Drosophila melanogaster: one gene and its partner. The protein of the gene in region 2 purifies or fractionates together with the protein of the main gene of each other region. This does not show direct contact. Each region holds a gene or a part of one and is shown on either strand. Other genes may lie near its edges.

What was found.
Region 1: the proteins of tay (region 2) and Mkp3 purify together in Drosophila melanogaster (affinity purification with western blotting; one study listed by BioGRID). This does not show direct contact.

What each region holds. Positions count from the first base shown.
Region 1 is NT_037436.4:19,083,389-19,088,296, forward strand, and holds the start of Mkp3 (Mitogen-activated protein kinase phosphatase 3), read right to left. Parts: upstream 3,039-4,908; 5' UTR 2,336-3,038; coding exon 1,933-2,335; intron 1-1,932. UniProt on the Drosophila melanogaster protein: Negatively regulates the activity of members of the MAP kinase family in response to changes in the cellular environment. Has a specificity for the ERK family.
Region 2 is NC_004354.4:15,884,304-15,889,320, reverse strand, and holds the start of tay (tay bridge), read left to right. Parts: upstream 1-2,009; 5' UTR 2,010-2,283; exon of another isoform or gene 2,284-2,308; intron 2,309-3,377; 5' UTR 3,378-3,426; coding exon 3,427-4,878; intron 4,879-4,946; coding exon 4,947-5,017. Other genes in the region: MSBP (membrane steroid binding protein), read left to right, coding at 1-19, 825-977, 1,053-1,285.

The DNA of each region.
Region 1 (4,908 bases), on a different chromosome or scaffold from region 2:
GATGCTTCGTTGCAGCGATCTCTTTCCCACCATAGAGTGCCATCTCTTTCCACGGCTTGACGTCATAGTTGAGATGGCACCTTATGTTATGCTAATTCCACGGCCTTTCAAGTTCTATTTATCTTTCGAAATGAAATCGGTACAAAAAGAAAAGTATCTTAGAGATGGGTGGTGGGGTGAGAGAGTTGGGAGGCTGAAAAGCCGGTCCATTTGTTGACGCTCTATTGTCAATTTGCGATATTAGCAGGCAGACACAAAAAAAAAAAAGAAACAGAAAACATTTGAATGGCAGAGGAGAACGTGCGTAAAGCTTGTTCGGCAAAAAAGTGTGTATATGTACATACATATGTACATACATCCAAACAATCACGGGGTTCTGTGGGACTTGTAAGCGAGCGGAAATTGAAGTGATAAAAATAAAAACGAAGCCATAGTCAGTCGTCAGATAATTATGTATATATTTCGACTATGTGCACAGGCATATAGGGCAGCACATACATAAATAAGCATATGTATAGCATATATAGTATATATGACAATTTATGTGGCTTTGAGTCATGGGAGTCGAGCCTCGGAGTCGCTGAAAAGCAATTGTGACATTTTTCTGAATGACACAAATCTATACGGGAGCACAAAGAAAATGTGTAGCCAACAATAGTGGAAAGACCTCAAAAGCATCGACAGCAGTGATGTTTATTTATGACTTCCTTAATCTCCGAACGTGTTTGTAAAATACCAAACGATTTTGAAAACACATTTATATTTAAATCGCTCCTTAATTGATATGGGCCAATCAAGGAGGGGCATAGTGTTTCAGAATAAAGTGCATAATTGGAAGGGCATGCGGGGTGGTATAACTACATATACATATATATCCGCCGATATGGTTGGATTGATATTTTGCGCAAGTTTTAATATAGCTTACATGCAATTGTGATAAGGAAACAAAAGACACAGCATATATAAACTAACAAATTCCTGCCATTATAATTTTCTATCAAAGTCAAACAAAATCGTGTCAACCAAAAACAAGTTCAGAAAGGTGAAATCTATGCAGTGTATGTCTATAATCAGAATGCGAGAGGAGGAGGACAGGATCAGTCAGACTAAATATAATTCTAATCTGGCGCTAGCTTTATCAGCTGTGCGGATTACATTATATTTTGCTAGTTTTTTTTTTTGCATTTGTCATTTTGTCTCCGCCCCCAGAATGCTTGCCTTGTTTCGCCAAAACGAAAAAAAAAAAAAACAATAACAAATCCATGCAAATGTTTATTTATGGCCAGGCAGTGCTTGCTTGTATTATTAATATTCTTTCGGCTGTTTTGTTTTGTTTTGGTTTCTTCCTTGGGGGTTTCGGGCTAAAAATGCCGCAAACAACATTGGGGAAGTATAAATAAGTTATGATATTCTTAGGCCTAGGATAGGAATGTGCGGCATTGATTTATGGGCGGTGTTGGGAAGTATCAGGCATTTAAAGAATCCGATAGCACAGCTATGATCAACAAATGGAGAGTTCCGTTCTCGATACAGGTGCGTAGTAAACTAACAAAAAATTCCATTCGTAATATTGATTCATTGCATTCCAAGAATATCACAATGTAAATCTTAATATTACTACTTTAGTTATTACATTCTAATCAAACGAGATTAAGGGGGGAAATTTTGGATGAAATTTTTCGGTTTTCTACTATGTTTATAATGATTTACTTAGTCATTTCTATTACTGAAGCTTTAATATTTCAAATATGTACATATTCTATGAAATCAACATGGATAGTATTCATATTTATAAGATTAATTACGTGAGTTTAAATGTGGGAATTGAGAGGTATATATAAACCTTAGTTGGTTTTAGTAACTCCCGCACTTGTATTATGATATTGTAGTTCTATTTTTTGGGGCACCCAAAGTATTGAACTTATGACTCACCTTGTAAAGCAACTACGCGGCAGCCGTCCTGCTTGAGGCGACGGTGCAGGATGCTGATGATGGAGTCCATGGCGACGGCCAGGGATCCGGCTCCGGCGATCTCCTGATTCTGGCCGGGCACGCCTTCGCCGTTGTAGAGGATGAACCAGCATAGCTTGTAGCCCGACTGGATGCGTTGCTTCAGCTCGGGCGACTTGATCGTGGAGGCCAGATCGATTTTGCCAACCGCCAGACGACGGAGGACGATGCTGGGTATGCATAGGTTGACGGCTCCGCGGATGTGCGACTCACTGTACTCGTGCGAGCCGCGGCAGTCCAACAGGATCAGGTCCTTGGAGTCCAGGGATCGCAACTGGGACTGCAGCCACTCCTTGCTGCAGGTCTCGTGCTCCGTTTCTGGCATTTTGAAGAGCTCCCAAAAAATCACTCAAAGACTGGAAGAATTCGAAGCACTGCCACTATTTTTCCCGTTTAGCTCTGTTCTCTGCTTCACTCGTTTTTTATGTTATTCTTTTTTCTTTTGGTTACAACAAAGTTTACATCATCTTTCTTCTTCTGCTTCGCGCTGGTTCTCTTCTTCTTTCTTGGCCGTGCAATGGTATTTGTTGCTGTTACACACACACACACTCCCGCGCAGATGAAAATCTTGGAAATCAAAAAGGAATTTTTGTTTTTATCTCGTTTGGGGAAATCTGTAACTTGCACTGTTTTGTTTTTTTTGTTTCTTGGCTTTCCGATTTCCTCGCTTGCCGATTTATGTTTCTTTGCACACCGAAATTCGTTGCTTTTTGCTTTTTGTTGTATGTACACACGCACACAAGAGCGCGCCAAATCACAACCGTGTGTATGTTTCGCGTGTGTGTGAGTGGTTTTGTATTTTTTAGGTGTGCTTCGCTAAAACAACAACAACAGTTCGGAATCGAATGAAAAAACGTGCGGTGAACCTGTCATCGAGTAACTAAAACATCCAAAAACCGTTGAATATTTCCCAAACAAATAGGTAATTACTTCTATCAAATATCCATATTTTGAGTTGATGTTTTTTTCGAATGGAAAGCGAGCACACACAAGCAGCGCGGGTAAAAGATAATCGGGCAATAACAAAATAAGCGCGTCGTGGGTTGCTTAAATAGCCTCGTTGCTCTCCAAAAATACGAACACAGTTGCACTTGCTCTCCGACTCTCCAATTCTCTCCGTCGGAATTCGAAGAGCGAAACCCAATAACAATATTGTATTTGTTAGGCGCAGTATTAAGAAATAACTTATAAAATATTGAATCTTTTTGCCTTCTCGTTTAAAAAAATACATTTGGGAATTACTATTTCGAAACAAACAGTCCGTTACACGCAATGAAAGGAAGAACGCACCCGCGCACACAGGTACGCGAACCGGAGAGAAGAGCAACTCTCCAAAAGGTGAGCAAGAGCCAGTGCACAGGCACAGACCCACTTGGAAATTTGCTCGGTTAAAAAAGGAGAAAAAATGGGGAAAAAAGTAAATACAAAGAGAGTTCCTGAATAAAATTTAGATAAAGTAAAGACTTTGTTTTAATTCTATAAATTACATAAAATTTTTTAAATATATTAAATAATCATATTTTCCCGTATGTTAAATAATTATTTCATAACTGGGTTCGTATTTCAAATTTCCCACCTGCCTTTCTCTCCCGCACTCTTTTGGCACTTTGACTATTTCTCCACGCTGCATACGCTCCCAAAGTTTTGTGTAAAGTTCATTGATATTTTTGTGCTGTGGTATGCGTGTGGCAAGTAAAATGCGTGTGTTCGTGTTGATTCATTGAATTCGCCATCCAAACTAGCTCTCTCTCACTCTCCCACTACTCCCACCACCACCCACCTTACCCTTCGCGATGGAACCTACTTTATTGTTACTCTCTTTTTGCGAGAGCGCGGTTAACATTTCACTTCACTAGAGTGCAAAAGTTAATGGACCACTAATTTAGACAGATAAGAAATTACGGAGCCCAGAAGAATCGGAATCATCAATGGAGTCGCTGTCTACTCTCTAACGAAAGCTCCTGCGCAAATGCTCCTCCAAGAGCCAGTTATATTGGAGACTCGATGAAATGTTTAATTTTATAACCATGACCCTGATATTTACACCCAAAAAGAAGAGACTCACACAAGGATATACGTGTGTACCCATACAGAAATCGCATGGAAGGACAATTTCAAGGATATGCGGCGCGTGCAAAAATTTCTCCACAAACAACAAACTTCCTGCTGCGCCTGCGTTGCACTAGCTTTACATAAAACGCACACCCATACACACCATATACCGTTAGGTAAGGCCCATCACAACGTGCTACTATATACAGATGTACGAACGAACGACTTTCGAGCACAATTTTCATGAATGAAAGTCCCACGCAGCAGCGAAAACCGTTGGAGCAATAAAGAAAGCCAAGCAGACAGAGAGGGAGACAGTCGGCGAGGGAAAGAAACGGCCATACGAAATCCATGCTCAGCCCACGCATTTCTCGCTGCTCACTTTCGTCTTGGCACGCGGCTCCTGAGATTCCAAGGGCGTTATTCCCCAGGACTTTACTCTGCTTTCGGCCCTGGCGCGTGGGAGGCCAGCCGGAATGTTGCAAGGGAGTGCACAGGGAAAAATTGAGCGGCTCTTTAATAAATTACATTTTCTTTCAGCAGTCTCAATACAAAGAAAACATGCGTACTTCAAAAGGATTTCTTTAATAATAAAAACACACACAAAAAATATATATATATATTTATATATAATACTAAGAAATATTTGTTATAATATGAAATCATTTAAGCATTTATTTATTTACGCTTCAGTAAACACAAAAGTGTAAACACACATATTACCATTAATTTTTGTATTCATCGAAAGTTGTACATAATTACTGTCAGTGTATCACTCAAGTATGAAGAAATTAGAAGTAAGCACCTGGATAGCTGTTTCAAAAGGCTGCTCAATTGCGCCTTCCA
Region 2 (5,017 bases):
AGGCGTTTTTACGGCCCAGGTGAGTGCTAGGCTATAAATATTTGAATTTAAGTTGTTCCTAAGCTTACAGTATAGCATATACCTTTAGAACTATTTTCGATTGATCTATTGCCGATTATAAGGAAGGGATTTTGGTATTTTGGTATGTGTTTCATTGCCAAGATCCCATTATTTATATCCCTCTATACGATGTCTATCTATAATTGCAATGCTACGTCACAATATTGGTTTTCCTGATATCTGTAACTCTCTTAATCGCATTTAATTTCTGTGGGAGGAGATATTGCACGACATATGCTCATATCTCTGCTATATTTCGTCATTTTTTTTTGCGCTAAGATTAACAGCTTATCAACAAGAAAGTTTTCGTTTTGAGATAACGCAACTATCTAACCAAATTCAATAATCAAATAATGCCTACCAAATGTCGACTAGGTGTTTTTATTGTTAAGCATGAAATGCAAAAATAGTTCACCATGATCGTCATTTTCATATGAAATAGTTGTCGTCCGCCTTATCAAATCGAAATACTTCCTAATGTAAATGCCTTAATTGAAATGTTCAAAGACACCAAACAGAAACCAGTGGCATTTCAACAACGGCTTGCACTTTTTCCTTAAGTATTTTAACTAAAAGTAACGAGTGCGAGCAAGATGCACGACACTTGTGACGTAGATGCGCAGAAAAGCCTTAAGTTGCGCACTTGATTGTATACTATCTTCTATCAACGGTGCCGTGTTCCTGATGACCAGACTGCTGACTCCAACAAACTAAAACTATATAAATATTTAGATAGTAACATATGATGATTCTCTGCTTTTCAGGTGGACCCTACGCAACTTTTGCGGGTAGAGATGCCTCGCGAAACTTGGCCACTTTCAGCGTGGTTTCAATTGACAAGGATGAATACGATGACCTGAGCGATTTAAGTGCCGTGGAAATGGACTCTGTGCGGGAATGGGAAATGCAGTTTAAGGGTAATTAAATCATATATATATATATGTATATGCTCAGATTCATAGGTAAACTAACGTTCTCATTATGTTATTTAGAAAAATATGAGCTGGTTGGTAAGCTATTGCGCAAGGGCGAGGAACCAACCAACTATGACGATGATGAGGACGAGGAGAATGTTAACAATGATGAACAAGAGCGAAAGAACCTACCCAAGTCGAAAACTGAGACTGATGACACCAAACAAGAAAAGGAAAGTCACATTTTGCAAAGCAATGTAACAAACAAAAATAACGCACAAGATCAGGCCACTCCTTCTACCGACTGTTAGCGAATCGGGTTTTTTGTTTTGCTTTTGGATGTGGCTGTAATAGTTTACTTTCGGTTAGAAACACAACAAAACTAAATAGCATTTCCGACTCTTTTTGATGCTGCCTCTGCTCCTTTAAAATCGAGAACAAGACCTATTTGGAAAACATTTAAAGAACACGCCCCAATTTGAACCGTACAAATCAAGGCATTAAATTTATCGTGAACATTTCAAAAGAATTTAAAACAGATAAAATCGTTTTTGAATGTTATTCTTAGAGTGCAGCCTTGACAAAAGCTATAGTTGTTACTATAATTCACGTTGTGATGTGATCTTGTTCCATATATTATAGTCGTATATTCATACAAATGTAACAAACGGAAATCATAAAATTATTTAAGGAGGAGGCCAATGTGTGGAGGGTATGGGAGTCATTTTCGTGGCAATATAAATTTAAATGTAACTATATTTGAAATACAAATTAAATACTTAAACGTTCAATATCTTTATTTGGGAGGTGGGGGAATCCTGAACTGCAAGAAAAGCAAAAAACAGGTTTTTTTCCTAATAATGGATTTTGATTTATTCCATTTGTTCCCAGTATTTTTTGAAACCAACTTTTCGCATCTTGTTATCGGTGTGAAACGCCCGAAATCGCGGCCACCAGTGGAGACTGGCCGCTACTTCGATAGTTATCATAATGTTATCCCCTTGAAAATGATTTTCTGCAGCTATCGAAAATTTGGTCCGTCTCTGAGAGACTATGTTGGTTCTTTGTGGTTAACAAAATTTTCGGAAAATAATATTGGATTTTATGTAAAATATACATAATAGCCGTGATGACAGTTAGTTTGGTAGCGATGCTTATAACGCGTTGATGCACAATCGATCGTTTTGGCCGTTCGTTGTGCGTTCGGTGTGTGTGGAAAATGTAAAAATGTACGAACAATCGCATACAGTTCACAAAAATTCGTCGTCGTCGTCGTCGTATTTGTATTTGTCGTTGTCGTATTTTGTATGTACGTATGTCGCAATTAGAAAAGTGTAAGTGTGAGCGAGATGACACTATTGTTTCTGTTTCTGCGCTGCTTCTGCAAATCTTTAAGAGAAAAGCCAACTAAAGTTCTGCGAAAGAGTAAAAATAAAAAAGAAGCTGCTTCAAAATGTTCTCTTTAATTAAAAAAAAAATTATTTTATCGTAATTTTATTTGCAAAGGCAACGGTGTGAAACTCTGGTTGAATGGTTTGTGCACTCGCTAGCGGCAGACTTATAGACGGCACGAACACGGAGGCATAGAGAAAAAAGGCCGAAAGAAAGAAGGAAAGCAAGAAAAAAAGCAACAGCAAAAGCAAAACCGAACTGGTGTATATAAATATACATACGTATACTCGTACGAATTTATATGTACGCATGCATGTACGTACATATATGTGCATACATATATTTCAAGAAGAAGAAGGCGAAGAAGCAGCAGAGGAGGAATACGAAGAAGAAGAAGAGTATATGACGAATGATAAAGTGCTAGACAAAATAAATATGGACTATTTTCGGTGAATTCTCATATCGGCTTTATGTTATTTATTTTTTTTATTATATTTTACATCTGTTCTGATTTGTGTGCAATCCCACTGACCCGAAAAAACAATAAGTGTTTGTTGTAAAAAAGAAGTGTGCAGAATTAAATATTATGTGTGTGTGTACAGAAAAAAGCGCAATAGGGAAGTTGACTACAAGAAAAAGAGCAAACGAAATGAAAACAACTTGTACAATTATTATTTTTAACCAAATTAGTGACTCTAATCAAATATGTTAACCGGTCGGAATGTGAAAAACCCCACAGTGGCCACCAAATAACAATATCACGTAAAAACAGTCGGCGCAGCATCGATTTTTTCAAAATACACGCGATTGAATCGGCCGTAGTAGCACCTTAAATCCAATATTTGTAAAGCTTTCTCGCCTTATCGCTGGCATAGAAAACCCCTCCTTCCAAAGAAAAAAAAAAAAAAAGTAAAGAAATATAGATAAAAATAATAGTCGAATGCATTGGAAAAGGTTTGGTCCAGATAGCAATATACATAATAATGCTCATCGATAATTTGTATTCCCAAGGAAAAGGAACTGAAGTGTAATCCACTGGAAGCTTTACGTAGCAAAAGAAATGGACACATCAAATGCCAGCGCTAAATCAAAGACGTCTGCGTCGGGCAGCAGTAGTATTAATGGAATAGGATCCCAAATCAAGCATATATCATCGTCGCAGGACATCGGATCCTCCGTTCCCGCTGTCCCAGTCCAGGATGAGAAGAGCGAGTCGCACTCCCACTCACATTCACACTCCAGCTCCAGCTCACAGTCGTCCCAGTCGCAATCGCAGTCACAGCCACAGTCCACAGTGCTCACGGTAGTGGGCCAGAGTATATCAAAGAGTTCGACCGGCGCCCTGGCGGTACTGCATCTTCCTCCGCCGACGGCGACCGCCTTAGTTCAAGCAAGTGCCAATATAGCCGATCTGGGCTCCATGCCTCGTGCTCGGCCATCGTTTGTATCGAACACCTCCTCGACGGCGGCGACGACGACGACGGCGACGTCGGCATCGGATGGCGGCAAAACCATGGCCGTGGCAGCGATTCCCCCGGCATCACCTGTCTCCATATCGGAGCCCACCTGTCCATCTGTTTCGACGGTATCGATGGCTCCCAGTGCCTGTGACTTTGACTCCGACACGGAACTCTCGATTGTGGCAGCTGCAGCGGCCGTCTCCGCCTCAGCCGGCATAGATTCGCGATCCCCGACGTCTCCTCCGACGGCGGCGGGATCCACAATAATGCCACAGCTGAATTCCAGTGCGGGAGGCACTGCTAGCATAGCCGGTAATCAGTCCGGCTTCGGAGCGGGATCAGGAGCGGTGGCTGCTGGGAATACCAATGGCCACAGCACCACCTCCAGTAGCAGTACTCATCTGAGTCTGAATGCCAAGCAACAGCGCCAGCAGAAACGCCGGAGGGAACGTGCCCAGCGTTTGCAAGCGGAACGCGACAGTCGATGCAATGCCAACTCGCTGAGTGGCACCTTCATAGCCGGATCCTCTGTGGGGGTCGGCAGTGCCATGAGTGCGGCCAACGGTGGCCAGGGAGGTGGAGTTGGCCTCGTCACGCCTAATAGTAGCGTCGGTGGCGGATCCTCGGCTGTTGCAATGGGCAACGGATCGGCGGCAGGACCCGGCAACAATGGGATGATCTATCACATCAACAGCGCTGGCAGCATGGGCGAGGATAGCAACAATTCAAATGGAAATTTCACCAGCAGCAGCAATGGCAGCAACAATCTGCTGCCGCCCACAGATAGTATTGCATCGTTACTCCTAAATCCACCACATTCCCCCGAGTGCAACTCGGGATTGATGGCCACGCCTAGCGATAGCGAGGGTGAGTCGCTGGACGAGGATCTGCTCTCGACCTCGTCCTCGTCCACACTGCTCTTGCCGCGCGACAAGCCACCGCCTCGACCACCACCTCCGGTTCGAAGAAAGCTGCCACGATCTCCGGTGCTCGAGGAGGAAATCATCGATGGATTCGCTATACTGGAGTTTAAGACATACGAGGATCTTGAGGTAGGTTTCGTTGCCATTTCATTTCATACGTGCACGCAGCCTACTGTAATAATCTTTCTTCACAACAGTTTGCCATCAAATTGGGACAGAAGCGGAAGGAGAAGCGTCTATCCGCACTGGACGAGCTAACTTGTACCTA